Linked DNA regions of Macaca mulatta. The protein of the gene in region 2 purifies or fractionates together with the protein of the main gene of each other region. This does not show direct contact. Links are inferred from orthologs where the notes say so. Each region holds a gene or a part of one and is shown on either strand. Other genes may lie near its edges. The genes, in order: DDX39B, NCBP3, THOC7, ALYREF and THOC6.

Region 1 (6,198 bases), on a different chromosome or scaffold from region 2:
TATGAGGCCAAGCCTCATTTTAAAAATAAAGGAGTCAGGTGTGGTGGCGCACGCCTATAACTCCAGCTACTCGGGAGGCAGAGGTTGCGGTGAACCAAGATCTCACCATTGTACTCCAGCCTGGGCAACAAGAGTGATATTCCGTCTCTAAATAAATAAATAAATAAATAAAATAAAGCCAGGCCCGGTGGTTCACGCCTGTAATCCCAGCAGTTTGGGAAGTCGAGGCAGGTGGATCACTTGAAGCCAGGCGTTCAAGACCAGCCTGGCCAACATGGTGAAACCCCATCTCTTCTAAAATACAATATTTACAAATTTACTACTAAAATACAAAAACTACAAAACTTAGCCAGGAGGCTGAGGAAGGAGAATCGCTTGAATGCAGGAAGTGGAGATTGCAGTGAGGCGAGATTGAGCCATTGTACTCCAGGCTAGATGACAGAGCGAGACTCCATCTCAAAAAATAAAAAATAAATAAATAAAGGACGGCAAGAAATTACCAGGATTAGTATAAAGTACCACAAAAAAACACATGGAACATTAAGTTTTCCTAAATAAACCCAGAATCTCAAACTCCTTCATACAAACCCCATGAAATTACTGCTTTGGGTGAAATATTATCACTTCATGTTAAAACCATTAGGTGAATAGTTGGTTAGGGATCTGGGCCTTGGTACAGTGTCAAATAACACCAGAAACTCTAGTTTTAAGGGGGAAAAGAATGACCATGGAATCAGACTGTCACGATGCTAATCCTATGGTAAACCTAAAGTCACTAATGAGGCCAGGCACAGTGGCTCACACCTGTAATCCCAGCACTTTGGGAGGCCGAGGTGGGTGGATCACTTGAGGTCAGGAGTTCGAGACCAGCCTGGCCAACATGGCGAAACCCTGTCACTACCAAAAAAAAAAAAAAAAAATTAGCCGGGTATGATGGCACACTGTAGTCCCAGCCACTCAGCAGGTTGAAGCAGGAGAATCGCTTGAACCTGGGAGGTGCAGGCTGCAGTGAGCTGAGATCGCACCACTACACTCACAGCCCAGGGGACGCAGCAAGACTCCATCTCAAAACAAATAAATAAAAATAAAAATAACTAACATAAGTCAACCCGATTTCTGGCATAACAGGAGATACAGCATCACCTATGAAGGATAATTGCCAAAAATGCTTAACTTCAATCAGATTTTTTTTTTTTGAGATGGGAGTCTCACTCTGTCACCCAGGCTGGAGTGTAGTGGCACAATCTCAGCTCACTATAACCTCTGCTTCCTGGGTTCAAGCGATTCTCCTGCCTCAGCCTCCCAAGTAGGTAGGACTACAGGTGTGTGCCACCACGCCCGGCTAATTTTTGCATTTTTAGTAGAGACAGGGTTTCATCGCATTGGCCACACTGGTCTCGAACTCCTGACCTCAAATGATCCACATGCCTTGGCCTCCCAAAGTGCTGAGATTACAGGTGTAAGCCGCTGCGCACTTGGCCAGAATCCTCAATATTCACACACCCCTGAAGCTGTTTTAAAGTTTCTGGCTTTCTCTGCCACACACCCCAAAATTACCAAACTGATAGGATTCAAAGTCAGTATAAAGTAGTAAAAAAAGGGTGGTCTCGGTTAAGCATCATCCATAGCCCAATTACGAATCCTCCCGTTACATAGGATCTTAACACTGTTAAACCATGGCAAACTAAAACTTCTCCAAAATTAAAGAGACTACTGGCCTACAAGTTTCTTATCCCTCCAACTTGCCACACCCTCACTCTGAGGTCTCTTTACCTCGGCTTACCTTGACATTGGGCATGTATTTAGAGAAGCGCTCATATTCCTTGCTGATCTGAAAAGCCAACTCCCGAGTGTGACACATCACCAGCACAGACACCTTAGGCAGGAAGTAGACCGAGACATACCATGAGTGTAGCCCTTCATCGTTCCCTCTAGGGAAGTGACTGACAAAAACACACCTGGGCCGATAATAAATGACTTCAATTCTGTGATCTAAATCACGAACCCCATGCTTGGATAGAACATTCCCCACAGCTGTCAGGTTGTCAAGGGTAACCGAGGTCATCATGTAGCTAGGACAAAAACACCCTTCCCTTATAGTCCTAACCAAAACCCCTTCCCCAGCACTCTCCCCAAATATACCTGCCCAGTAACTGGCTCCAGCTGTTGCAGTGTGGCCAACACAAACACTGCTGTCTTTCCCATGCCCGACTTGGCCTGGCACAGGACATCCATTCCCAGAATGGCCTGAGGGATGCACTCATGCTGGACTAAAAGTAGGGAGGAAAGATAAATTAGACTTCAGTCTCCAGATAACTCTACAACCTTTTTCATCATGCCAAGCCCATTTCTTACCACTCAATTCTCAAAATCTAGTATTTACCTGGTTCTTGCCAACTTCCAGACCCCTTTTTCCTCTCTCTGCTCAATTATATTCACCTCAAAATCAGACTCTCCTAATTCATCCCAGCTTTGGCCTCCTCCAGATCTAGGCCTTCCCAGTCCTACTAACAGCCCCCTTGCATCTACCAACCGCTCACCTTCAATGCTCCTGGCTCTGTCCTTATTTTTCTTAATCTGTAACAATTCATGACATCTGAATACCTGCTAAAGACATTTCTCCTACTTAGGTTGCCATACTTCGGGTCACATAACAACAACCCGGGACAAAATGAAGGACTTGGTACCTGACCCAGAAGCCAGTCATCTCTAAACCAGTCATAGAGGTTTCCAGAGGCCACAGTTGGCCTGGCCCAACAGAGGGAGACTACAGGTCCAATCAGGACCTTTCTGGAAATTTAAAATTACAAGTCAAATGACAAAATTAAAAATAAGCAGACAAAAGAAGTCAGTCACAAGAATGAATGGCAGACCTAGAAGCTACTTTTGGATAATTAGCACTTTGGTGCTATCATGAAAGAAAGAACAAGTCTGTATAATCCTCCTCTATCCAAAATCGTTTTCGATACTTATCTCCTGATTTTTTTTTTCCTCACTGTCTCCCCGGCTGGTGTACAGTAGTGCAATCACGGCTCACTGAAGCCTCAACCTTCACCTGCTTCGTTTAGTAGAGACAGGAGTCTCCCTATCTTGCCCAGGCTTCTCTTGCACTCGAGCTCAAGTGACCACCCCTCCTGCCTTGCCCTCCCAAAGCGCTGGGATTACAGGCGTGAGCCCCTGCACCTGACCCTGATCTAGCCTTAAGTATAAACTTTTACCACCTGAGCAACAACAAACACATCTTTTTATTGTACCCTTAAAGAGCCCAATGAGCACTACATGCCCAAGAGAAAATTTACCTTCTGACGGATGCTCAAAGCCACAGTCGACAATGGCCCGGAGCAACTCTGGCTTGAGCAGGAAGTCACGAAAGCCAGAGCTGTGGATGGAGACATAGGAGCCCTTGACATCCTTCTTGGCAGGGGCCTCAGCCCCATCTCCCCCAGCTGCTGTCTCCACCTCATCATCTTCATAGTCCAAGAGCTCATTGTCCACATCGTTCTCTGCCATAACTGGGCCGGCAGGGGAAGACGGGAAGGGGAATCTGGATGGGTTCTCGCAAAACAGGTGAAAACAAGGGGTGAAGAGTAGGGGATTGAGGAACAGCAAAGGAAAATAAAGATACTATTTCTAACAGAAGAGCTGGGGAGGGGGAAAAAAAAAAAAGCAAGACTTAGTCACGAGCAGAGCCTTCACCACCTCTTTTCCATTCCCAGTTCCCACTTTCCCTAAACTAGGAAACTTTTACATGGAAAAAAAAACAGATACACAACATAAAAACGAAAAGCAAATACAACAGAACAGAAAAAGCAGCACCAGCGAAAGTGGTTAGGACACAGGTTCCCAACAAGATTAGCAATCACAGTAGCGGAAACCAGAAAAGTTGGAAGGGGAAGACCAACTTATAAATTCTTAATCTGAAAATAAGTGAGGAAATATAATAGATAATAAAAGATAAAATATGATTAATAACTTAGTAAAGTGGAAAATGGAGATGACAAGCAGAGTCCTGGAAAGTCCTCAAAGGAAGACTGTGCTTTCCCTATTATAATCCCACCGTTATGGATGCCTAACTCAGCAGCCATCAGTCAAGGGTGATAGATGAGGGTCATCACTGCGCAAAGCGCTCATCTTTCGAAAAGAAAACATCATATGGCCGCCGTCCACCTCCCATAGCTCTCAGCCTCCCACTTCTCAGTATCCTCTCTTCCGTTGTTTAAGAAAGCCTTGTGTAATTAGCATGGGGGGGAGGGGCGGTGCAAGACAAATGGCTCGGCCACCAAAAACAAAAAAAATCCATGTCTCCACCCTACAATAACAAAGTTAATAGTTGACAGAGAAAGGCAATCCCCGCCCAGGCTTTAACAGGATCTTTACCAAGTGGTCTGACATCACTGTTGCGCTACGAAGGTGAGACTCCTTTTGGAGAAACATACAATGACACCAATAGTAAACACTTGTAAGGCACTCCAAATTAACTTGGGCGAGTCAAGGTGAGAAAAATCCAACTGGGCCCAAAAACCGGCTCCTCCTCCCAGTCCCACCGTGGGCCAAGAAAGGGCTCAAGAAAGGACAAGTAAGGTGATAAGAGCCCCGCCCTCCGCAAATACCAAGACCAAGGGACGCCTAGCGCCGCCTCTCATTGATGCTGAGGCCTCCAATATGAAAAGAACCTACTGGAAGAAGGGAGCAAAACGAACACAATGGCGCCGAGGACACCATCTTGGATTGGGCCCCCCCTTAGCTTCCCTTCCTTCCCCCAAGAGCTCTTTGCTCTCGAAAGGGATGCAAGCTACGGAAATGGGGAACCAACTAGGCCCCAGAGACCAGACGATCGCCTGTGAAAAGGGTATCAGGAACCCATGTGACGGGATGGGTGCGAAGAAGCGCAGATGGCAACGGATTGTAGTGAACGCCAAAGCTTACCTAAGAAGGCAGAGCGCGTATGGCGGCAGCAACAGCGACGAAGGAGGGAAATCTGCCTTCACTTCCGGTTGCAGGCTTCTCTCTACTCCAGCCTCCCGCCTTCTTGGCTGCAAGAGCGCAGGCGCAAGGGACCGGAAACGGGGCCTTCCGCGGTTGTACAGATCCGTGCGCTCCAGGCTTGCCTTTGGAAAATGCCTGTCTGAAATTTGTTTTAAAACCGTTTCTAACTTCCCTGCTACCGCCAGTAACAAAACGTATAAAGGAAACTAACGTTTCCTCCCACTGTTATCTTTCTTCTGTTGTCGTACTCCTCTCCATGCCTCTCATCTCTTCGTTTAGGTTTTTGCCATGCAGGTCTTCTCTCTAGGCACTCCATGGATGCGCGAGGAACCGGTGTGGCGAGGGCTGCGAGTTCCCACGGGGTCCTTGGCCCGGTAGTGAAGGTGACCTGAGGGCGGCTGGGCAAGCACTAGGAAACGGCAGGCCCTAGCTGAGGGGGGGGGCGTTGCCCGACTCTTTCCCAGTCGTGGGGCTAGTGGGCGGTATTTTCCCAAAAGGATGCCGTCCGAGGTAGCTGCGGCCCTAGGGCCAGGGAGTCAGGAAGGTGTTCTGAATCCGAGCGGGAAGACGGGGTCTGGATTCGGCCCCAAGTGTCAATAGTAGGGCTTGAGGGTTATACTACATTCCATTAATACTGTTTTTTTTTTTTTTTGTTTTGAGACAGAGTTTCGCTCTGTCGCCCAGGCTGGAGTGCAATGGCGTGGTCTCGGCTCACTGCAACCTCTGCTTCCTGGGTTCAAGCGATTCTCCTGCCTCAGCCTCCCAAGTAGCTAGGATTACAGGCGCCCGCTACCACGCCCAGCAAATTTTTAGTTTTTTAGTAGAGACGGGTTTTCACCCATGTATGACCTCAGGTGATCCACCTGCCTCGGCCTCCCAAAGTGCTGGGATTACAGGCGTGAGCCACCTCACCCGGCCCATTAATACTGTTAATTCGAGCAGAATGTTCTTGGCCCTACCCCAACAGCCCCATTGTTCAACCTGGATTTTTTTTCCTGAATGAAACATTTGCCATCCCTGTCTTTGAGATGGGGAGCTACAAAAGTAAGACCTGATGTCCTGCTGTGTAATAAAACAACAAACGTTTGACCCTCTCCCTGTTAGCACACTTAATCTTTTAATACTAAGGAGTAGGTACCGTTCTTGTCATCTTATTGACAGAAGCAAAGCAACATATCCCAAGCAGTACAGCTAGTGAGGTTACAGCCAGGA
Region 2 (5,343 bases):
CTCTTTGTATTTACTGGGTAAATGTAATACGTTTATTGGAAACTACTTATATGTTCAAAGATTGTGCCTTCCGCTTTCCGGGAGCTCACGGGATTTTTTGTTTGCTGAAACTTTTGTAAATTATTTAGTCTGCTTGATTCTGCTTTAAAAAAAAAATGGTTGTTTCTTCAGAAATTTAGTTCTGGAGCAGTCAGTTGAGGATTTTTCCTCTGACAGCCCCTATGTCCGAATTTTCCTAGGGATATCCATACTGACTACAAAGGAAGACTACGTAGCAGCCTGATTGTCAGGTCCTGTGTCCTCACTTGGGGGGCAGGGCAGGGGTTAGTGCCAGATCCTGTAGAGGTCTCAGGCGGCTGGTTCTGAGCATAAAGCACACACATGGTCACTGGTGCAATTCTTCTCTTTTTTCAGATATACGCCAGCGATTAGGAAAAAGACCATATTCTCCGGAAAAGGCTTTTAGTAGTAACCCAGTCGTTCGGAGAGAGCCCTCTTCTGATGTGCATAGTAGGCTCGGTGTTCCCAGGCAAGATATTAAAGGCCTCTACGCCGATACTCGGGAGAAGAAATCAGGTTGGTAACACTTAAAACCGATGGGAATGGGGATTCAGTGAGAGCAGAGGACAATGGGTGTATTGGAGCAGACGGCAAGAAACAGCCCATGACAAACATAAGTGATTATTCCTTTTCCATTATAGTTATCATCAGTATCAGCATCAGCATCATCTCAACAGTAAGGAATGCTTAGAGCATAGGAAAAAATAGCACACTCCTGGTTCTTTCTGCTTGGCACAAATCTTTTTAGTTTCATGTGAGCTATTCTGGTCTTTGTCCACATACAAGTCCTACTTTTTTCACATAGCATTTTATCGTAGTTGTTTGCCACATTTTATAAACTTTATAAATAAAACTTTTAGGCCCAGCACGGTGGCTCACACCTGTAATCCCAGCACTTTGGGAGGCCGAGACCAGCCTAACCAACATGGCGAAACCCTGTCTCTACTAAAAACACAAAACTTGGCCGGGCGCGGTGGCTCAAGCCTGTAATCCCAGCACTTTGGGAGGCCGAGACGGGCGGATCACGAGGTCAGGAGATCGAGACCATCCTGGCTGACACGGTGAAACCCCGTCTCTACTAAAAATACAAAAAACTAGCCGGGCGCGGTGGCGGGCGCCTGTAGTCCCAGCTACTCGGGAGGCTGAGGCAGGAGAATGGCGTAAACCCGGGAGGCGGAGCTTGCAGTGAGCTGAGATCCGGCCACTGCACTCCAGCCTGGGCGACAGAGCAAGACTCCGTCTCAAAAAAAAAAAAAAAAAACAAAAAAAAAACCACAAAACTTAGCCGGGCGTGGTGGTGGGTGCCAGCACCACCGCACTTCAGCCTGGGCAACAGAGCAAGACCTTGTCTCGAAAACAAAAACAACTTTTAATTGCCTTATAATGTGGCTATCCACCAAATTCTAAACACATATTTCTCTGTTGTTCAATTTTCATGAAATATATTTCAAAAAGTAATGGATGGTGGGCAGAATTTCTGAAATGTTACAGTATAGTAGGCCCATCGATTTGTAGAATGTTGAAGCTGGAAAGGAGCTGGGAATGGCCTACTCCTGGCAGAATGGATTGGCACACCGGGTGGTATCTCAGCAGGGAAGGGCAGGAGTAGGAAGAAACAGCCTCTCAGGTGATTCTGATGTGCCTGGTGACAGGGAGGGACCTGACCTGTCCCCCACGGTGAGAATCCCCTGCTGGGTCCAGACCCTTCTGTTTGCAGGCCAGGGGCTGCGGCCCAGGAAATGAGATTTTACCTACCCAAAGCTGCACTGTGATGGCGTTTCCTGCACAGCAGGTGTTGGCAGTGCCACTGCCCCCTCAGTACCACCCTGGTTCTTAGTGCTGACTGTGAAAGTGAAATGCCATCTCATCCAAACAGGTAATTTATGGACTCGCCTAGGATCTGCACCCAAGACCAAAGAAAAGAATACGAAGAAAGTGGATCACAGGGCACCTGGCGCTGAGGAAGACGACTCCGAGCTGCAAAGGGCGTGGGGGGCTCTGATTAAGGAGAAAGAGCAGTCTCGCCAAAAGAAGAGCCGGTTAGATAACTTACCATCTCTCCAGATTGAAGTTAGTCGGGAAAGCAGCTCTGGTTCAGAGGCAGAGTCCTGATGCCCCTGGGGCCTATGGCAACTGCCCTAAAACCTGACCTTCTTGCACAGGGTGGGGCGCGCAGTAGGAACCTCCCCCGCAGGAGCTGGCGCCCTCTCGCTCCTGCTCACACAGTCACCCTCTCAGCTCTTGCTACTTCGGCAAGACGTCTTAAGAATGGGACACATTTTCAAGGGCGTCTCTATCTTTCGCTGCAGAGTTGTAGTTCTGGGCCCTCGATTCCTTTCCCATCACCCCACAGGCTTTACCCTTTGAGAAAAAGGCAGCCCTCCAGATTTTGTAGACATTTTTCTTAATATTTTTAACATTGTGTCTTTTAAAAGAAATGTTTTACACAGTTCATCCAAAGAGCAGAGAACTGAACTTCTCACTATTGCCTTGGCCCTGACAGCTGTTACCAGCACCCTTTTCCCAAGAAAAGTCAATTCCCAGGTGCTTATTGGACATCCTTCGAGGGGGAAGAGGAGGGAAGCGGCCAGCTCACCCTTCCGGGACCCTAGTGTGGGGGCGAATCTCACCGACCTGACCTCAGAGGTGCACCAGTGCCGCCCAGGTAGATAAGAGCTGCAGCATTGACTGTGCTTCCGTTCTTCCCTCGGGGATTGCTCATGTCATGGGCCTCTTACTTGCTGTCAGCTTGATGTGAAGATCAAGTTCAGTGCTGTGGGATTTTTAGGAACAAAAAACTGTGACGTCTGGAATTGGGGTTGATTTTTGTGCTGGGGGTGGGATTATGGGTTAATGTTAAAGAATTTTTAAGTCTGTATTATGTTTAAAACACAAATGATTTGAAAGTTTAAATTTTTAATTTTTATATGTGGAAGTTCTTCCTGTTGGCTAAAGGGGAAGCTTGAGTGGTGTCTTCTTTTGTGCTGTTAAATATATATTCTATTCTTTGGAAGAAGGCAGAGAGAGGAGTCTTATTATTTTTAAATGCTTCTAGTTGTATAGCCTGTCTGTTGTACATAGAGCTCAGCTTGCTTTTTGGCTCCAGTAGGAAAAAAATCCATCCATCTGAGATGGGTCCTGTTGTTTATTATCACTCTAGAAGTTGATACATTGATATTTATTCTTTCTGTCCCCAAGTTGTGGCACCTGAAGACATCCTAAAACTTGGCAGAAAAGATAATAGTTATGAAAATTTTAGTTCATTTATTTTTAAGCTCCTTTCAGATTATTTTACCATTAGGAGGAGGTAGATTGTTTCTTCTTGCTGTCTGATTTTTGTTTTGTAGTATTTAATTTTGTATTCCTCTGCAGTTTTGAGAAACAGTGTTTCGCTTCGGTTTGCTGGAACATGGGAGTTAGAGCTGGTCGTAAGCCGTGGGCCTTTTTGCGATGTCACAACTCTTCACCTGCCTGGGCTGTTCCGCACACAGTGCAGCCTGGATCCTGGCGATCTGTACTTGTGGCCGAGCTAATGGTCGCATTGATAGTTGATTACACTGTGGCACGAATGAATGCAGAACACTGTTATTAATAAAGGAAGTAAAAGGGCTGCAAGATTTGAGAGCTGCAACAAAAACTGTATTGTCCCATATTTTGTTGATTAACCTGCTTTTTCTCCCTCCCTTTAGAGTATTAGAGCATATAACTGTGATATATTTCAGCTTCCTAATAGGATTCTAGGAGAGAGATGGTTCTGGTTTCTCCGCCAGTTGAGACTTAAGGCATCTGAGATTCCTCAGCTTTCCTTTCCCTGTGAAGCACACGGCTGAGAGCCAGGTTCTTAAGAAGGGTCAGGGGTTGGGGAGTTGGTAGAGTGAGAAGTGCGGGGGTCTGAGAATCAGAGACCTGGATGCCAACCCCTGGCTCTGTGCTATGGACCTGGGCCTCAGTTTTCCCATCTAGCAGTTGAGTGAGCTGGTACCAGAATTCCTGGCTTTGTTGGTGCGTCTCAGTGGCGGTTTATTCTTCCCAAGCTGTGATGGCGGTGGGCTGGCCTGCGTGAATTTCTATTGCAGGTGGCTGGAGGAAGCGCCGAGGAGACAACTGAGAGCGAGCATGAGGTGTGGACAGGGGCTTTTCCCATCCCAGCAGTCTCTGCAATGGGGCAGAGATGTCTTGTGGTCAGGGTCCCAGCTGGCATGGCCTCTGCAGGGTTTAGAATATGCCCCTTCACAGACTTTGCTTTTGGTTTTCCACCAGCAGCTCAGGCCCGTTTGTTCCATGGCCTTTCAGCACTCACCAGTCTCTTGCTGGAGATCAGCAAAGACATTCTGGAAGGAGGTGGTGTGCAGTCAAAACTGGGTCTTTGATCTAACCAAGAAAAATACACACTTGAGTAGCCTCCAGTTTTCACAGACACACAGAGAGAACCCGGAAAGGCAGGTTTGACGATTTTACTTCTCGGAGTTACTGGCCTTATTAGCCTCTCTAACCCTTCAGCCCACTCTCAGTCACTCAGATCTTGCAACATCTTGAGTGTGTCCTGAATGACGAGGCCTTTTCTTTGGCGTTTCGGAGTGAGAATGGATAGTCAGGACAGGCCTCTGGCAGGCAGCTGGGCGTGCTTTTACCCTGGACGCTCCCCACACATGTGGGCACAGGGCTACCCACTTTGTGTATCCCTCTTAGTCTCATAGGTAGGAGATTTTAAATCCATGTTTGCTGCTTGATGGTAATTGCAGATACCTCATTTGTTTCCCACTCTCCTCTCTGGAGAGTTACCAGGTACCCAGGAGAACTTGTGGCGTCCACCGCAGGATGGAGTCTCCTTCTCTGGCCCCCTTGTAGTCTGATCCTGTGAACCCCTCCCCGTACTTCAGCCACTGTCCTTTCCAGCTGCACTTGTACAGCACCCTCTTCACTGGTCTCTGCCCTTTCTCCGTTCTGCACACCGCAGCCGGGACGAACCTTTGTTGTTGTTACCAGCTTAATTAAGATACAATTTGCATACAGTTCAGCCATTAAAAGTGTACACTTCAGTCGCTTTCAGTATATTTACAGAGTTGTGCACCAGCACTGCTATCAATTGTAAAACATTTTTATCACCCAGAGAAACCCTGAGCCCATTAGCAGCGCTCCCTATTCCGTCTTCCCTCTTAGCCTCTGGCCACCACTGATCTTCCTTCTCTCTCTCTGGATTTGCCTGTTCTGGACAGTTCGTATAAATGGGATCATATACTATGTGTCTATTTGTGACTGGCTTCTTCACATATTTTTGGGGTT
Region 3 (5,203 bases), on a different chromosome or scaffold from region 2:
TGGTTATTATTCTTTGTTTCAGGAATGTAGTAATAATTTAAAATTTATTATGTGTCTTTTCACTATGTTTTGAGAGCTGTGTTTTAAAAGGGCATAACTAGTTTATTGTTTTTAACTGAAATTCAGTATTTTAATATATGAAGACCATATTCTATTTGTCCATTGTGCTATTAATGAATATTACATGCATTTATTTCAGACATATAAGTGGTAAGGTCAGAGGGAAATAAAATTTAACAGAGAAGTATGGGAAAATATAATATTGAAGATCTGACCCCTCCTTTTGAAACATATTTATTCTGCAAAAAATGAAATGCCTAGGGTAGTTTATGAGCATTTATGTATAAAGGTTAGTTCCTTTCAAAGTAAAACTCTACACTTACTTTAATGTCTCATGCCTGTCTGGATGGTGTTGAATCACTTTTGCCAAAGCATCATATTCTGAAAGACATAAAAATATTTATCAAACTAAGGGTTTTTTGAATATGAATTATCAAAACAAAAATGTATAATATCAACAAAAATGTATAATATCACAAACCTCTTCTAATCACTTCCCTAGTATATCAAGAAATGAAATCATTGAAAGATGAGTATTGCCAGTTTTAGTTGACTGAGTTATAATTATAATGATACACAACATCAAAAGTGTTCCAAACAGGGGTTTTAGCTCCCACTTTTTTTCCATTTATATGTCGTGGACAGAATATAAGAGGTCAGCATAAGCATAAGCAAATTTAAGTTATTATTGATTATCAAATAGACTGATTCTGAGAAGGATCTTACTCACTAGTTGTCTAAAAAATAAAATAAAATAAAATAAAATCAGTAAATATATCCTACCATTAGTTTGAGTTGTTAGTCAACAGCAAATTACACTTCTCACTCATTCCAAAAGTTAAGATTTCAGAAACGTGCAAATAACTTAAAATTCAGGTTCTACTTTCTGCTCCACTGAGACCTCCAAGATAAGTCATGTAACTTCTGTTAACCTTTCTTATGAAGTGATGAGTGATGAGTGGCAGGATTTACTTAAAAACCTCATTAACCAACGAAAACACTCCAAATATTTTTAAATGACTTTTGAACTGATACTAAGTTGGTATATCTTACTGTAAATAGGGCACCAAAACTTCACCATACACATTTTAAACTGAAAAAAACAACTTGTAAAAAGAGGAAATTAAGCTTCATCTTAATTAGTTCATTAAAAAGTGAACATTCATTGTTTTAGAACTGAGCATATTAATTCAATAAAAGTATGATTCTTTTAACACAAATTTTTTGAATTACAAAATAATACATGCCCTATGTAAAACAAAACAAAACAAAAACAGAGAAAAGAACCTAAGCCATAAAAACTCACAACTTCAAAATAACCATTAACATTTTCTATTTTCTTCTAGTTTTTCACATCAATGTGAAAAGTTGTAACAGTTGTGATCACACATTATATTTTTTATTTTTATTTTTCTTCAATTTACATTTTAAGAACAGCATTGCCTCTAACATTAAAAATTGTCTTGAAATAGTATTTAGGAACTACATAAGTATATACTCTAACTTAAAAACAAGAGATTATAACAAAACTCAACTTTAACCTTCTTATTAGATATTGTAGGCCGTCTAGAAATGTTTGCTTGCTTTGTACTTAATGAAAACTCACAGAGTTTAAATTCCTTTCCATTTCATTTTTTGGAAAGTAGCTCTATTAAACAAACAAACTAAAAACCCAAACCATAAATCTAGTATATTTATGTAAATCGCCTCTGCTGATTAACTATAACATTATTTAGGCAAAAGGGTCCAAGATGGTAAAAATTTAATACTTAAGAAATACTGGGATAAGAAAAAAAAAGAGAAAAACAAAAGAAATACTTAGATAATCAACATAATCCAGCAAAAACATTCTTTTCAACACAGACCTCCTTCTGTATTTTAAAGAATAATATAGTTCTAAGGAATTAAAATTTGGATTTTTTTTTTAAATCAAGGTTGATTCAGGCTGCAGATTATACCTCACAACATTAAAAACTGCATGAAAATAGTAGTCAGTAATAATGTATTTGCACATTAAATCCCTCAAAACCCTTACCTTGGCGATTTTTTCGTATTCGTTTTGCTTGAAGAATTTGCTTTTTGCACTCAGCAATTTTTTCATGTGCTCCAGCTATGCTACATTCTATATGAGAAGGTTTTTAAAAGATAGTGGTAACACAATCAATAATCCATTTTTAATTTTAAAATGCATTTATAAATTAAATTCTATTGGTAACAAAATAGACACTAGTATTTTAAAAAAACAGCTGTAACCCAAAGTACTATATCATGTTAGAATATGCATTTTTATAGCTAACATTTACTGTATTCTTTCCATTAATACAGTAATTGTTATTATTCTTTTACCACCAATCAAAGAAAATTGTTAGCAGATATTGTTTCCTTTAGACCATAAAAAATAAAATTACAGATAGAAACATTAAGATTCTTTACCTATTTCCTTGTAAATTTTTTCATAATTTTCCATTTCTCTGAGATTCATATCATATACTAGTAAAGTTTTGCCCATTGAAAATTCACATTGAGACAGCGTGCTCAGCATACGTTGGTACTGGCTATACCTAATGAAAAAGAGAGAAAACCAAAATAAGGATGCTTGTGGATTGACAAAAATGAACTGTTATAATGCAGGCAAATATTTGCTAATTAAATTATACCAAGTTCTGAGAGAATCATTTGCTTATTTAAAATAATTTAGAATATCTGTCCCTTAAGTTTTCTTTTTATCAAATGTAGTATTCTTGAATTTAACTACTTTAGTTACAAATGCAAAGATGGGACTGCTGTTCTTATCAATACACGTTTTATTCAAACAATTATTTGAATTTTGTTTAAAAGACTAAAAAATACTTTAAGATGTTTTTTTAACTTCACAGTTCTGTTCCCACAATTTTTTCACTCTATAAAATCATTTATATGGAAAGCAAATTCAAATGAGGAAAAGTTTACTATGTTAAAAAATAAATAAATATAGTTGAGCATGGTAGCTCATGTCTGTAATTCTGACATTTTGGGAAGCCAAGGTGGGCAGATCACTTAAGGCTAGGAGTTTGACACCAGCCTGGCCAACATGGTGAAACCCCATCTCTACTAAAAATACAAAAATTAGTCAGGCATGGTGGTGCTTGCCTATAATCCCAGCTACTCAGGAGGCTGAGGCACCAGTACTGCTTGAACCTGGGAGGTGGAGGTTGCAGTGAGCCAAGATTGTGCCATTATTGCACTACAGCCTGAGCAATAGAATGAGACTCTGTCTCAAAGAAAAAAAAAAAAAATTAGATATACGTGTGTGTGTGTGTGTGTGTGTGTGTGTGTATGTGTATGTGTGTGTGTGTATCAGGTTGGTGCAAAACTAATCGCGGTTAATCGTGTCAACTTAATATATACATACATAGCGGTAGCCTTTTATTAGCAAAGGAGAAAATTCCATTTAGATATTTTATCCTATTAAACACTTATATCATAAAAGTAACCAAACTAATGAGTCTGAATTTAATCTTCATTTCTCCTTCAATCCTCCTTCTCCATGTTTTAATAAACATATGGGAGGCCTTTGAAGAGAAGAAAAGGCCAAGAAAATCTACTCTCGATTAAGAGTTGACTCCACTGGACATTTAAGGTGAGTGAAAATTTGATCTATTCACAGGACCTCAATATATGGCCTAAAATCACATTAGGACATTGGTATGGAAACAACAGTGAAATGAAATACCCCTCTTCCTGGGACCCAGAGTTGCACCATTTAATGAAACTCTTCACTAGCAGATTAATTCTCCGATCATCTCCAGCACCATCTCCATCAATGAGGAGACGCTTCCGTATAACTTCATCTGCAGGAAAGAAGGCCAATGTTACCATCTGGCTCTTGGTAACTTTCAAGCACAAATAACCAGTATGACTGTTCATTTGTTTATTCAAAAGAAAATTATTGAAATGTAAATGTATTTAATGCCACTGAACTGTACACTTAAAAATGGCCAACTAAAATGGTAATTTTGTTATGCATATTTTATGTTACTGCATATAATAAAAAATATTTATATAGTAAAGGAAAAAGAAAGTTATTGCATGACTATCGTGTGTCAGGTATTGTTCTAGGGGCTGGAGTAATAGCAGTGAAAAGATGTCCTTACAGAGTTGGCAGTCTACTGGATTGTTGAGTGGAAATAATCTTCAGGTACAATGAAGGAAACAAAATAACCTGCCCAGACAGACAGAAGTTCAAATGCTCGTGTTTTTGGTTGGTGAGAGGCATTGATAAAAGGAATAGATAGGAAATATTTAAAAGATGTAGTAGCAAACTAGGAAAAAAGAATGAGATGGGTCAGGGAAAAAGTAATGGATTTGTTAGATAAACATATAATTTAAGGCTGGGTGTGGTGGCTAATGCCTGTAATCTCAACAGTTTGGGAGGCTGAGGCTGGAGTATCGCTTGAGACCGGGAGTTTGAGACCAGCCTGAGCAACACAGTGAGACTCTGATCCTGTGAAAAATAAAAATTAGCTCGGTGTGGTGGCATGTGCCTATTAGTCCCAGTAACTTGGGAGGCTGAGGTAGGAGGATCACTTGAGCCTGGGAGATCAAGGTTGCAGCAAGCCATGATCTCACCACTGGACTCCAGTGCCTATTGGCAACAAAGCGAGAAGCTGTCTCTGAAAAAAATAAAAAATAAAAATAAAATTAAATTTAAAAAGTATATATATAGTTATCTGTAAGGTTTCTTTCCCCATGAGGATTTTTTTTTTTAACAATACTGTCTGACTTTCGCCCCAAGGAAAAGAAAGAGAGAGAGAAGAAGAACAAAAAAAACAAAAACAAAAACAAGTAGATGACAATGATGGCCAACAAGCGGGGTCCACATCTGTCTGCCTGGCAGTCCTGAGCTAGTGTTCTTTCCTGGACAAAATGATGCTGGATCATAACAAGAGCAAGGCAAATTAAAACCATAGTAAAACATCATTTTTCATCTATCAGATTGGCAAAAGATCTGATAAAACGGTTGGGCAAGGGTGTTAGAAAACTGCACTTTTATACACGAATAAAATGCAAACTGGTAATTCTTTGTAGGGCCACTGAACGGTAACAAATAAAATTTAAAACGCACATACCTTTCTGACCCCATAATTCCAATTCTAGAAATTTG
Region 4 (6,252 bases), about 86 Mb from region 2:
CCACAACAGCAACCGGTAAAATTTATCCCAAAAATAACTCGGTACAAAACAGGTCTGTTTCAGAATTTAAAAAAAAAAAAAAAGGAAAAAAAAAAAAAAAACCTTTACATGAGTTTTTAAATCCTATTTTAAAACATAAAAGAAACAAATCCATCATTGGCCGCACAGCCCCAGCCACCGCCCACCCCCGACCAGGGAGCAAGAGGAAACGCCTGGGTCCTGTTCCACACGCGGATTTGCCGGTCTGTTTAACTGGTGTCCATCTGAAACACAGAGGAAAAAGAGGCTCGCATTCACAGAAGGCCTGCTCCCCACTGTGGCTTCGACCGGGCCCCCAGCTGGCTCCCCCGGGACTCACTCTCGCATTATAGGCGTCCAGCTGGGCATCCAGCTCCTCTGCCGAAAGCTGCTGCTTTGAATTTCTGCCGGCACCTCTGCCTCTTCCACGGGCGCCTCCACGGGTGCCCCTCCGAGTGCCTCCACCGCCACCAAAACCTCCAGCGCCACGGTTTCTAGTCATGCCACCTCTGTTTACGCTAGCAAGGAAAATGAAACCGTTCGCATAGCTGGAAGAACCCCAAGGGCGATACAGCTACACCCTAGGCCAACACCCTTCCCCAGAGGCCCCGGAAGTCACCTCTGTGCAGGTCTCCGCTGTGTATCAATCTGTGATGTGACAAGCTGAATGTTCATGGGGCGGCCTGCGGCAAAGAATACAAGAGGGCACGTTCTAATGAGAGGCTCTGAAACCAACCCAGCTGGCACCACACCCTGGTCTCCATGCAAACACTGGAAAGGGCCTCTGTGTGTCTCAAATGCCCCCGACAAGGGAAATGGCCTGGAGATACTGGTGGGAGAACAAAATGGCAAGGAAGCAACCCCACCAACACCTCCTCATCCTTCTCAGTCCAGACTGGGTGGGCTGCTTGCTGAGGTGTCAGGGTGCTCGTGGGTGGAGAGGTGTGGGTGACCTGACGAAGAAGAACCGGTACCTTTGTCTTTACGACTACAGCCCCGCACTCAGAGGTGTACTATGGCGGTTCTGAGAAGGCTTCACAGAAGTGAATCTTCCGGAAGGAGCTGAAGGAGGGGAGGGATGTAGCTTGCTGGATGGGGGTTCACAAGAGGTTGGTCCAGATGTGTGGGGCAGCATGAGAGGTGGCAGATGGAAGAGAGAGACAAAGGGGCAAATGCAAAGTGTCCTCAGCCACAGGGGTACCCCATTTTCCTACCTGGACAGGTGCCAGCCCCAAACTCCACAAGCCCCACAGTCAGCGTGGGTCTACCCCCAGACTCACCATCCAGAGGGACGCCGTTGTACTGCTTCATGGCCTTCAGGGCATCTGCCTTCCGCTCAAAGTGCACGTCTGCTGTTCCTAAGCTGCGGCCAGAGCGATCATAGTGCACAGCCGCCTTCTTCAGCGTTCCAAATTCAGCAAAGAGTTCCTGGGAGTTGCAAAGAACAGTTGTCAGAAAAGCAACAAAACTGGGTTCCTTCTGGTGGCCCAGGGACAGGCCCTGGAAGCGTGAGTTGCTTTGGGGGTGGTTCCCTGGGAGGCAGGACAGTGGTAACGGGAAATGAGGGAAGGGTGGGGCAGAAGGGACAGCAACTTCCAAGAGCACCTGGGTCTGAGGGCTCCTGCCATTGTGGGGACCTGACACGTGTACCATGATGCAGATAGAGGAAGTCGCAAAGCCCACTAGCAAGGGGCACAAAATTAAGCCACTATCCTCCTCAACGAAGGAAAATTTACAACACACCCAAGGGCTGTTCCAAGAAACGGTAAAGGCCAAGATCAAGAGCAAGAGCAAGGGAAGCAGTCCGATATCAGACCAGCTTGAAGGGCCTGTAGATTCGGGAGCCCTGACCCCAGCCCCTCCCCCAGAGGCAGATTCTGGCTCACCTTTCCCTCTCCTCCTACTCAAGCCTGCCGCAAAGTCTGAAGTCAAGCGCTGCCATGGAAACTGCCCTGACCTCAGGCAGGCTGGGAGTTGGAGAGGGAACCCAGAGTGTGGGGATACTCCGGCCGCAGGCACACAGCGGGAACTGGAGTTCACCAAAAGCGGTTTCCAGTGGATGCTAGAAACCACCTTAAAAAAAGTGTTGAGACACTGTGAGTGCTCACTGGCCCTACTCTGTCCTCCCAAGGCAAATGGCTGGGCTGTGGGCAACTGAACCCTGCCCAGCCATCTCCAAAACTGACTCCCAAAAAATCATTTCTTAACCAGAAAACAAGTTTAAATGCCATTGGGATTCAATTTTTCTTTTTTAAAAAAAGAAAAGCTTCAACCAAAGATGGGCTTGAGAATCATGTCACTGAAGGGACACGGGGGTGGGGAGTGATAAAACCGCAGCGTACAACGTCTTTATAAGACAATACTCAAGGCAGACAGAGCCAGAAAATCACACAGGCTTCCTGTGCTTCATAAGGTACATAAAAAAGATTATTTTTCTCACATTAACCCACTAAAAGGGGCACAACATTTAAAGAGCAACTGGGCTGGGTTAAACAGCCAACAACCACTCACATTTGATCAGTCTTGGTCCCTGTTAGAAACTGGAAGCCCTGGCTGGGGATGTTCACTCACAGAACCCATCTTCAGACTATCAGCAGCAGTTCCTCAGGCTCGGCTAGGCTCGCACCTGCCTGCGGACTGAGCCCGGCTTTACTAGAGCTAGGTCTGTCCTGCAGCCCTTGAGAGCTGGGAGCGCTCCCTTCGCTAAGGCGGGAAGGGGACTCAGGGCCCCCTCCCCCAAATCACGATCGGTCCTGTGCAGGGCGAACGGCTCACCGAGAAGCCCTCGTCTCTTACCTGAATATCGGCGTCTGAAACTCCAAAATCCAGATTGGACACCAGCAGTTTCCCACCCGTCTCCACGCCGGCACCACCCCCGAAGCCACTGTCGAAAAGATCGTGCTGCCACTTGTCGGGAAGTTGTTTTGGCTGAAGAAAAAAAACCGCAACAACAGCAGATCCGTGAGTCTCAGTCCAGGCCTTTCCTGGCCCTCACGGCTACTCCGGACCCTTCCTCTTCCCGGCCTGAGAGGATCCGGCCGAGACGGGGCCGCTAGCGCTCCCTCCGGCGCAGCAGCTGCCCCAGCCCGAGGCGGCACGGTCCCACCGCGGCCGCACAACTTCAGTTCCCTTCGACTAACTTCCCGCCGCCGGTGCCGCGCCCAGCGTCCCCTCCTCTCCTGCCGCCACGAGGCCCCGGCGGCCGGAACAAACAAAGAGCCGGGAAGGGTCTCAGCCTCCGAGACCGGGCCCCGAAAGAACGACCTCGCTCCCGCCCACCACCCCCTCCGCGCCCACACGCACCCTCCGGACCTCCGGGCGGCCGCTCCACCGGCCCTATCTGTCCGCCGGCCCGGGTCTCCACCGCGAGACGCCCCGGCCCCGGCTGGTCCCCTCCCGCTCTCCGGCGCGGCCGGCCTCCGCACTCACCCTGCTGTAGGGCGCCGGTCGGTTCCTGCCGCCTCCGCCGGCCGCGCCGCGGGCGATGGCCGGCCGGTTCCGGATGGGCCCGCCGCCTCGACTCACTCGCGCGGCGGCCTGCGCCCCACCGCCGCGACCGCCCTGGGAGCCGGCCCGGCCGCGGCCCCGGCCCCCGCCGCGGCCGCCTCGTTGGCTCCGGTTCAGTTTAATGATGTCGTCCAGAGACATGTCCATTTTGTCGGCCATGGCGGGCGCGGAATCGGGCATCGGCTCGAGCCCGCGCGTCAGCACGCCGGCGCGTCACTTCCGGCGCCTCGTGAGGCCTTCCGGTGCCACGGCCTCGGAGCGACTGCTGATTGGCCGCCGGCGGACGGCTGCGCGCGCGGGACGGGGTGAGGCGGGAAGGCGCGTGCGCACTGGCTCGCGGGACTCGGCGGGCGCTGCTGAGGGAGCCGGGCCGCGACTGAGGTCGTTTTTATACCTTCCCGCGCGGACGCCGGCGCTGCCAACGGAAGGGCGGGCAGGGCGGCGCGTGATTAGGTTGGCGAAGGTGCGAGGGCGCAGGGGGTGGGGCGGCAGCCGTTGGGGGCGGAGCCTGCGCGCCCCTCCCTCCCCGCACGCCCCACCCGATCGCCCTGGGCTGGGGGCGCTGGGGGCCCTGCGGGCGCGGCGGGTGCCGGGCAGCCGCTGGGAGTCCTTGTTTCCGCTCCCGCCCGGGACTGTGCGCTCGGCTCGCGGCGGGGTCCAGCGGACGCGGCCTCGGCGGGCGACAGCCGCCGCAGAAGAGCTGCGGGTTGGTTGTTTGGTCCCCACCTGCAGACCCCCGAGTCTGCACTCTCACAATTTGCTAGTCATATCCTTTACAAGTTTTCGTGCGCGGTCACGCCTGCAATCCCAGCGCTTTGCGAGGCCGAGGCAAGAGGTTCGCTTCAGCCCAGCAGTTTGAGACCAGCTGGGGCAACATAGTGAGACCCCATCTCTTAAAAAAAAATTAGTTGAGGCCGAGACGGGCGGATCACGAGGTCAGGAGATCGAGACCATCCTGGATAACACGGTGAAACCCCGTCTCTACTAAAAAATACAAAAAAATCCTAGCCGGGCGAGGTGGCGGGCGCCTGTAGTCCCAGCTACTCGGGAGGCTGAGGCAGGAGAATGGCGTAAGCCCGGGAGGCGGAGCTTGCAGTGAGCTGAGATCCGGCCACTGCACTCCAGCCTGGGCCACAGAGCGAGACTCCGTCTCAAAAAAAAAAAAAAAAAAAAAAAAATTAGTTGGGTTTGGTGGTGCACTTTTGTACTACCAGCTACTTGGGAGGCCGAGGTGGGAGGATCGCTTGAGCCCAGGAGGTCGAGGCTGCAGTGAGCCATGATGGCACCACTGCACTCCAGCCTGGGTGACAGAGCCAGACCCTGTCTCCAAAAGAAATTATATGACATATTTGCAATTTATTAATGAAAACCAATGTGCTATTTCATGGAATTTTTTTTTTTTTTTTTGGAGACAGTCTCCTTTCGCCCAGGCTAGAGTGCAGTGGGGCAGTCTTGGCTCACTGCAACCACTGCCTCCTGGGTTCAAGCGATTGTCCTGCCTCAGCCTCCCAAGTAGCTGAGACTACAGGCATGTGCCACTACACCCAGCTAATTGTTGTATTTTTAGTAGAGAAATTAGTTGTATTTTTAGTAGAGACAGGGTTTCACCATGTTGGTCAGGGTGGTCTTAAACTCCTGACTTCAGGTGATCCGCCCGCCTTGGCCTCCCAAAGTGCTGGGATTACAGGCGTGAGCCACCACACCCAGCCCACTTCATGAATTTTAAGTTGTTTTGAGATATTTGCTTTTGTTTTTGTTTTTTGAGTCAGGGCCAGCCCATTTCATGGATTTAAGTTGTTTTGAGATACTTGCTTTTGTTTTTGTGTTTTTTGAGCCAGGGTCTCCCCTTGTCACCCAGACTGGAGTGCAGTGGTGTGATCTTGGCTCACTGCAGTCTTGAACTCCTGGGCTCCAGCTATCCTCTCGCCTCAGCCTCTTAGGCAGCTGGTGCATGCCACCACAGCAGGCTTTTTTTTTTTTTTTTTTTTTTTGAGACAGTCCCACTGTGTCGCCCAGGCTGGAGTGCAGTGCTGTGATCTTGGCTCACTGCAACCTCTGCCTCCTGGGTCCAAGCGATTTTTGTGCCTCAGCCTCCCGAATAGCTGGGTGCTGGGATTATAGGTGTGCGCCACCACGCCTGGCTAATTTTGTATGTGTACGTGTGATGGAGCCTCACTCTGTTGCCCACGCTGGAATGCAATGGCATGATCTCGGCTCACTGTAACCTCTGCTTCCCAGGTTCAAGTGATTCTCCTGCCTCACCCTCCCGAGTAGCTGGGATAACAGGTGCCCACCACACCCGGCTAATTTTTTGTATTCTTAGTAGAGACAGGGTTTCAGTATGTTGGCCAGGCTGGTCTTGAACTCCTGACCTCAAGTGATCCACCTTCCTCGGCCTCCCAAAGTGCTGGGATTACAGGCATGAGCCGCCACCTGCAGCTAATATTTTTGTATTTTTGTAGAGACGGGGTTTTGTCATGTTGGCCAGACCCACTTGAGATCTTTGAAGATATCCTCAACATGAGGTAAAATGAAACTCCTGACAGTGTGATCTCTCTGTCCGTGAGGAGCTGAGTTCCCTCCCTTGGAGAGAAAAGTGTGCCCTTTCTCTAGACGGCTAAAGAAACCTCACAGATAGTTCTTTCTTTTCCTTTTCTTCTTTTTTTTTTGGTAGAGACAGTCTCACTATGTTACACAGGCTGGTCTCAAACTCCTGGGCTCAGGCGA
Region 5 (6,067 bases), on a different chromosome or scaffold from region 2:
GATGGCAATCTGCCCATAATTGTTGCCAGCCGCCAAAAACTTCCCACACGGTGAGACGCTCTGGGAGAAGATGGTCATATGGAGCCGCTGCAAGGCCTGGAACACCTCTGTCTGCAGGGAAGAACTGGATGAGGCCTGCCTGGGATGTATGAAACCTCCCAGCCACAGACTCCTTCCTGCTTCCCCCAACACCTGCCAGGCCTCCCACTGTCCTGACTTCTCAGCCCTCTTTTGAGGCGGCCCGGCCCCAAGCCAGCACTTGCCCATGCAGTCCCATGGGCGGCTCCAAGAAGACACTGAAGAAGGGGCGAGTCGAGGTGATGCCTCAGGGACCTCTGAGCAAGCACCCAGCACTCTCCTACCAGCTTCCTCAACTGTCAAGTGGAGCTCACAGAAGATTCCATCACCATTAGATGAGCTAGTGTATAGACAAGAGCTTTCCATGGGGCTGTCACTCAGTGCTGAAGCCGGGTGTGGTGGCTCATGCCTGTCATCCACTGCTTGGGGAGGCCAGGAGTTCGAGAGCAGCCTGGTCAAAATAGTGAGACTCCGTCTCAACAAAAAATTTAAAAATGTGGGGCCGGGCGCAGTGGCTCACGCCTGTAATCCCAGCACTTTGGGAGGCCGAGGTGGGCGGATCACCTGAGGTCTGGAGTTCCAGACCAGCCTGACCAACATGGAGAAACCCATCTCTACTAAAAATACAAAATGAGCTGGGAGTGGTGGCGCATGCCTGTAATCTCAGCTACTTGGGAGACTGAGGCAGGAGAACTGCTTGAATCTGGGAGGCGGAGGCTGTGGTGAACCAAGATGGAGCCATTGCACTCCAGCCTGGGCAACAAGAGTGAAACTTCATCTCAAAAAAAAAAATGGCCGGGCGCGGTGGCTCAAGCCTGTAATCCCAGCACTTTGGGAGGCCGAGACGGGCGGATCACGAGGTCAGGAGATCGAGACCATCCTGGCTAACACGGTGAAACCCCGTCTCTACTAAAAATACAAGAAAATTAGCCTGGCGAGGTGGTGGGCGCCTGTAGTCCCAGCTACTCGGGAGGCTGAGGCAGGAGAATGGCGTGAACCCGGGGGAGCGGAGCTTGCAGTGAGCCGAGATCGCGCCACTGCACTCCAGCCTGGGGCACAGAGCAAGACTCCGTCTCAAAAAAAAAAAAAAAAAAAATGTGGCCAGGCATGGTGACTCACACCTGTAATCCCAGCACTTTGGGAGGCTGAGGCGGGAGGATCACCTGAGGTCAGGAGTTCGAGACCAGCCTGGTCAACACGGTAAAACCCTGTATCTACTAAAAACACAAAATTAGCTGGGCATGGTGGCACACGCCTGTAGTCCCAGCTACTCAGGAAACTGAGGCAGGAGAATCGCTTGAACCCAGGAGGCGGAAGTTGCAGTGAGCTGAGATCGTGCCACTACACTCTAGCCTAGTTGACAGAGTGAGACTCCGTCTCAAAAAAAAAAAAAGTGCTTTGCAGGAACTAGAAAATTAAAAAAAAAAAATAGGGGTGGCTCTACTACCCCAACATAGAAAAACGTACTGATTTATAATCCCTACTCTCTGTCTTGCGTTAAGCCCCTGAGGCACTTCTGGGTTACTCTCCCGCCCCCCGGTCAGCGTCTGAGTTCCACAAATAGCCCAGGCAAAATAGGACTCAAAGGGCACAATTCCCTGCCCGCCCCGTCCCAGCCATGAATGGACTACAAATCCCAGAAGGCAACGCGCACCACGTCCGTCTCACCTGACCCAGCGGTACCGCGAGCGGCACAGCTCGCTCCATCTCCAGAACTACAAGTCCCAGAGTGCTCCGCGTGCCACGCAACTTCACGAGGCCTTACGTGCCTACAGCGGTTCCTCTCCGTGGCGCCCTACTGCCTTCGGCGCGAAGGGGGCTGCTGCGTACCGTCCTGAACCCCAGGAGCCGAGGTGAGCGCCGCGAAGACCCCCGACATTAAGAAGTGGTGTCCACCGCAGCCCCGCTAAGCCGGATACCCTCCCCCACCCCGAGGAGCAAGCCTGCCTTCCGCCACGCGCCGCCCTTCTTCGGCGCCCGCGCAGAACCTCGCCGCTGTGCCCGCCTAAAGCCACGCCCATCCTCGCTGGGCCACGCCCTCAGAGACTCCTCCCCTGTCGCCCAGATCCCACCCGCAGGACCCCAAAACCCAATGATCCTTCAGCAGCCCTTGGAGCGAGGCCCCCAGGGTGGGGCCCAGCGCCTCCCGCGGGCCGCCTTGGGGGTGACTCGGGGCCTGGACGCCAGGTGCGTGTGGGGGACCAGGGTGGGCCTGACCAAGGGCCGCAGGAGCTTTGGCTGGGTGCTCAGGGCTGGTCTGCAGGATGAACACGGGGTGGGGCGAATCGGTGGGGCTTAGGCGTGAGCTGAGATGGTATTGGGGCTGCAGTTCAGGGTCCAGACTTCCGAAGTACGCTGCTGGATGGCCCAGGAGAGGGGGGACCAGCACCAGCTGAGACAGTAATGGGCTTGGGGCTCCTGGCTGATGCTGCAGGCTCAGGCAGGCATATCCTTGGGAAGGGGCCAAGAGGGTGGGGTGCACCAGGCTCTCTTTTTTCCCCAGCTCCCCTCTCCGAGGAGCTGTGCCCATGAGCACCAAGCGGCGCCTGGAGGAGGAGCAGTGAGTTTGGGGGCAGGGAGGGACTCCCAACGAGAGCTCTGTCACCTCTGGTCCCCAACAGGCTGCCTCCTGTCTCAATATCCCAGCCTGCCTCTCTCCCATCTCTCCCCAGGGAGCCTCTGCGCAAGCAATTTCTGTCTGAGGAGAACATGGCCACCCACTTCTCTCAACTCAGCCTGCACAATGACCACCCCTACTGCAGCCCCCCCATGGCCTTCCCCCAAGCCCTGCCCCCACTCAGGTAGGCTCCTCCACTGGCCAGGCCTTCTGCAGAATCACAGGCGGTCCTCGCAGCTGACCTCAGGCCCTGCCTCATCGTGCCATTTTTAGCTCTAGCTGACCTCTGGGTTGTTTCTCATCTTCGCTCTTTGGAAAGTGCTGGGAACCCAGGAGTCCCTGGGGACCTGGACCTGGTGGGAGGTGCTCAGCTAGGCCAGCCTTAGCCCCATGCCCTGACAGTCATTTCTTCTTCTAGAAGCCCTTGCTCTGAGCTGCTTCTCTGGCGCTACCCTGGCAGCCTCATCCCCGAGGCCCTCCGTCTGCTGAGGCTGGGGGACACCCCCAGTCCCCCCTACCCTGCAACCCCAGCTGGAGACATAACGGAGCTCTGAGTGCTGGTGGACTGCCCCTCCCACCTTCCTTCTTCCCCACAACAGAAGAGACCAGCGACTCCTGCAAAGGGACAAGGTTCCTCCCTCTCCTGCAGACCAGGCATCTGGGCACCAAGACCTTCCCTCAACAGAGGACACTGAGCCCAACGGAGCTCTGGGATGGGAGGGGTGGGAGCATGGGAAGGGAGGCATCCCACCCCCAAGAAGAACTGAATAAAGATTGCTGAGCAAAGGAAGGCTTCAGTCTAGAACCTGGGGCTTTTGGGGATGGTGGAGAGGGCAGAGGTGCGGGATGCTGGGGTTTCTCCTCAAGATCTTCCCTGGAAAACTGTTAGGGCCAGCCAGGTCCTGGCCGGCTGAGTTCCAGGCATTGAGAATGTGTGAGTCAGAGCCTCACCCCCGCCCCCGCGGCTGGCTGACTCACTCCCTCCCTCCAGCTCAGGGGAGTCAGTCGGGGATCACTGCCTCTCCAAACCATTTAAAGTTAAAGATTCTTTTATTAATAAATTCTCCCTCCCCTCCAAACTCTCCCCAAAATAAATATCTCCTCCCCTCTTTAGGGAGTTGGGGGGGTCGGTATCTTAGGGCCAGCCCTCCTAGTGGGCCAGCCCCCTAGTGTTAAAAATAGGTCCCTAACCCCCCAGGGTGACCCCCATGGTGGAATTTCAGGACATCTGAGTGAGTGGGGCCTAGTGTCAAGTCTGCCCCCCAAGTCAGCCTGGCCCCCAGGGCCTCTAGGAAGGAGGACACCCCCCCCGTGCAAATGCTGCCGTTCCTTAGTCAGTGTCAGCTGTTTTGTGTGAGCCAGCGTGAGGCTCCCTTTCTGTTCTGGGGCCAGAGGCAGGGCAACCAGACACCTTGGAAGGTTCCCCTGAACCCTGGGCCCAGGCCTCAGAGGTGATTCACCGCCCCCCACCCCCCTTGTGGTTGGAGGAGCTTGGCTCCTGCCGCGTCTGGGAGGCAGAGACTGGCTCTAGAATGGATGAATGAATGATGAGTGGGCGAGCCCCGGCTGGCAGGGGGCACATTGTCACTGGATCAGCGCCACAGCTGGGCAGCCCTCTCCGCCGGTCTCCTCTATGGGGGCTGCAAGATAAGAGGTGGGGTCGTCAGGGGCAGAGAAAAGGTCGAGTGCTGACAGGGCTGGGCAGGCCAGGGCGCACTTACTGGTGAACTTCTCTCTCCTGCGGCATCGTCTCCAGACCAGAAAGCCAGAAAGCAGCCCCAGCACGAAGGTCAGACTCAGAGCGCCCCCAAGGATGGGCCAAAGCAGCCGGAAGGGGGCAGGAGGTGCCGCAGCGCCTGGGGGCGGGACTCGGAGTCAGACCTCGCCCCTCTCCAGGCCAGCCCCGCCCCCTAAGACTGAGCCTTCAGCCTTCTCCCAACCGTGGCCTCCTCCCTGACCCGGGCCACCTTCCAACTCCCACCTTCTCCCGATTGACTTCCCCGATGCAAAGCTCTCGGCCCCCCTCTCCGCACCAGCCACCCTCTCTCCCAGTCTGGGGTCCGCTGGCCACTGGCCCTGCCCCCCACTCACAGCCCAGGCAGAAGTCGCTGTGCGGTCGCGCCCTGCAAGACGCGCAGTCCATGCACTTGTCCAGGTCCGCGCTCCAGGAACTGCCGCGGGAGCAGGGGGCGGTGCCTGGGGAGGGGGCCTCGGGTCAGAGGCTGGGGGCGGGACTCGGCTATTCTGGGGTCTGAGGTCAGGGTCGGCCGGCTCGAATAACGTGAGTCACTGGCGCCCTCCCCGCGCATTCCTCACAGGTGACCGCACGGCCCGACCGGGACACGGCAGCTCCGGGAGGGAGGGCGTAGCGCGGGACGCTGGGGGTGGGGGGGGGTCAGGTCCCCACAACCCCCCTGCCGCCGGCGAGTGACTCACTCCTGGGCACCGGGCCCGACCCCGGTCCCTCCCCCCGCATAGCTGGGCACTGAAGTCACCGGATGGAAGGGGGCACCCCACATGGTATAGAGGGCACAGACCCTAGTGCCTCTCGACGGCCTCCCCAACTCGTCGGTCACTGGGGCTAGTTAGACCCTGTACTGACCAGGCTGGGGGCGTGCCCCTTCCTAGACTAAACATCCCGCCCTCACTTACTTTCTCTCTCCACTTCCAAGTACTTTCGGACTTTCGGAACCGAAGAACCCACCCCAACCCCAATTGGACGGTGGGAGAAACTGAGGCCCGGATTGTGAATGAAACTTGGAGAGTGATGGAAGTTCCCACAGCCGGGAGCGAGCTGTTAGAAGGCCACCTGAACCCAGATACCCACATCCGCCTGTTTCCCCAGTTCCGCGCTGTTCTCCAGGCACCCAATCCGGCTCCCGAGCCCCGGATCGGGGTTCTCCGACCCCCAAGTCCCGCGTACCTGGCGCTTGCTCCCCAGCCACGGAGCGCAGCAACGCCAGCCAGAGCCCCAGCACGAGGAGCCGCAGCAACCGGCGCAGCGAACCCCGAGCCATAGTGCACGTCCCGCACCCGCCGCTGTCTGCGCCCGCCGCCGGCCGGCAGGGACCCACGGCCGCCGCCCCGCCTCCGCCCCCGCCTTCCGGGGCGGAGCTCTCGCCTCCGCCCGCCTTGAGTTTGGCTGCGGGACGCCCCGCCCCGCGGGGCCCGCTCAGTTCAGTCATTCATTCAACAAAGTCCTGGTGCGGGAGCTGCCAGGACCCCGCAGGGACGCAGACCCCTCCCTTGCCCAGCAGGTGATCTAGTCCAGCGCGCGTGGGGTGGGGAAATAAAAAATCAGACACGAGTGCTCTCTTCGGCATCTCATATAGAAATCAGACATGAACGGCCGGGCGCGGTGGCTCACGCCTT

The links.
Region 1: the proteins of NCBP3 (region 2) and DDX39B purify together in Homo sapiens (co-immunoprecipitation; 4 studies listed by BioGRID and IntAct, with this or other methods). This does not show direct contact. The link is inferred for Macaca mulatta from reciprocal best matches to the Homo sapiens genes NCBP3 and DDX39B.
Region 3: the proteins of NCBP3 (region 2) and THOC7 purify together in Homo sapiens (co-immunoprecipitation; 3 studies listed by BioGRID and IntAct, with this or other methods). This does not show direct contact. The link is inferred for Macaca mulatta from reciprocal best matches to the Homo sapiens genes NCBP3 and THOC7.
Region 4: the proteins of NCBP3 (region 2) and ALYREF purify together in Homo sapiens (affinity purification with mass spectrometry; 4 studies listed by BioGRID and IntAct, with this or other methods). This does not show direct contact. The link is inferred for Macaca mulatta from reciprocal best matches to the Homo sapiens genes NCBP3 and ALYREF.
Region 5: the proteins of NCBP3 (region 2) and THOC6 purify together in Homo sapiens (co-immunoprecipitation; 3 studies listed by BioGRID and IntAct, with this or other methods). This does not show direct contact. The link is inferred for Macaca mulatta from reciprocal best matches to the Homo sapiens genes NCBP3 and THOC6.

The regions. Positions count from the first base shown.
Region 1 is NC_133409.1:150,787,878-150,794,075, reverse strand, and holds the start of DDX39B (spliceosome RNA helicase DDX39B), read right to left. Parts: upstream 3,511-6,198; coding exon 3,300-3,510; intron 2,271-3,299; coding exon 2,143-2,270; intron 1,877-2,142; coding exon 1,784-1,876; intron 1-1,783. UniProt on the Homo sapiens protein: Involved in nuclear export of spliced and unspliced mRNA. Component of the TREX complex which is thought to couple mRNA transcription, processing and nuclear export, and specifically associates with spliced mRNA and not with unspliced pre-mRNA.
Region 2 is NC_133421.1:5,294,418-5,299,760, reverse strand, and holds the end of NCBP3 (nuclear cap-binding protein subunit 3), read left to right. Parts: intron 1-414; coding exon 415-576; intron 577-1,936; coding exon 1,937-2,099; intron 2,100-2,563; coding exon 2,564-2,672; 3' UTR 2,673-3,697; downstream 3,698-5,343. UniProt on the Homo sapiens protein: Associates with NCBP1/CBP80 to form an alternative cap-binding complex (CBC) which plays a key role in mRNA export. NCBP3 serves as adapter protein linking the capped RNAs (m7GpppG-capped RNA) to NCBP1/CBP80.
Region 3 is NC_133407.1:127,394,266-127,399,468, forward strand, and holds part of THOC7 (THO complex subunit 7), read right to left. Parts: intron 3,891-5,203; coding exon 3,773-3,890; intron 2,622-3,772; coding exon 2,494-2,621; intron 2,183-2,493; coding exon 2,096-2,182; intron 442-2,095; coding exon 384-441; intron 1-383. UniProt on the Homo sapiens protein: Component of the THO subcomplex of the TREX complex which is thought to couple mRNA transcription, processing and nuclear export, and which specifically associates with spliced mRNA and not with unspliced pre-mRNA.
Region 4 is NC_133421.1:91,550,631-91,556,882, forward strand, and holds ALYREF (THO complex subunit 4), read right to left. Parts: upstream 3,709-6,252; 5' UTR 3,706-3,708; coding exon 3,448-3,705; intron 2,980-3,447; exon of another isoform or gene 2,947-2,979; coding exon 2,815-2,946; intron 1,447-2,814; coding exon 1,299-1,446; intron 702-1,298; coding exon 638-701; intron 537-637; coding exon 359-536; intron 264-358; coding exon 249-263; 3' UTR 87-248; downstream 1-86. UniProt on the Homo sapiens protein: Functions as an mRNA export adapter; component of the transcription/export (TREX) complex which is thought to couple mRNA transcription, processing and nuclear export, and specifically associates with spliced mRNA and not with unspliced pre-mRNA.
Region 5 is NC_133425.1:4,263,556-4,269,622, reverse strand, and holds the start of THOC6 (THO complex subunit 6), read right to left. Parts: upstream 3,486-6,067; 5' UTR 3,250-3,485; coding exon of another isoform or gene 3,114-3,249; intron 2,880-3,113; coding exon of another isoform or gene 2,751-2,879; intron 2,639-2,750; coding exon of another isoform or gene 2,582-2,638; intron 2,267-2,581; 5' UTR 2,266-2,266; coding exon of another isoform or gene 2,171-2,265; 5' UTR 1,786-2,170; coding exon 1,747-1,785; intron 530-1,746; exon of another isoform or gene 260-529; intron 112-259; coding exon 1-111. Other genes in the region: HCFC1R1 (host cell factor C1 regulator 1), read left to right, coding at 2,171-2,265, 2,582-2,638, 2,751-2,879, 3,114-3,249; TNFRSF12A (tumor necrosis factor receptor superfamily member 12A), read right to left, coding at 4,280-4,335, 4,417-4,551, 4,787-4,891, 5,619-5,712. UniProt on the Homo sapiens protein: Component of the THO subcomplex of the TREX complex which is thought to couple mRNA transcription, processing and nuclear export, and which specifically associates with spliced mRNA and not with unspliced pre-mRNA.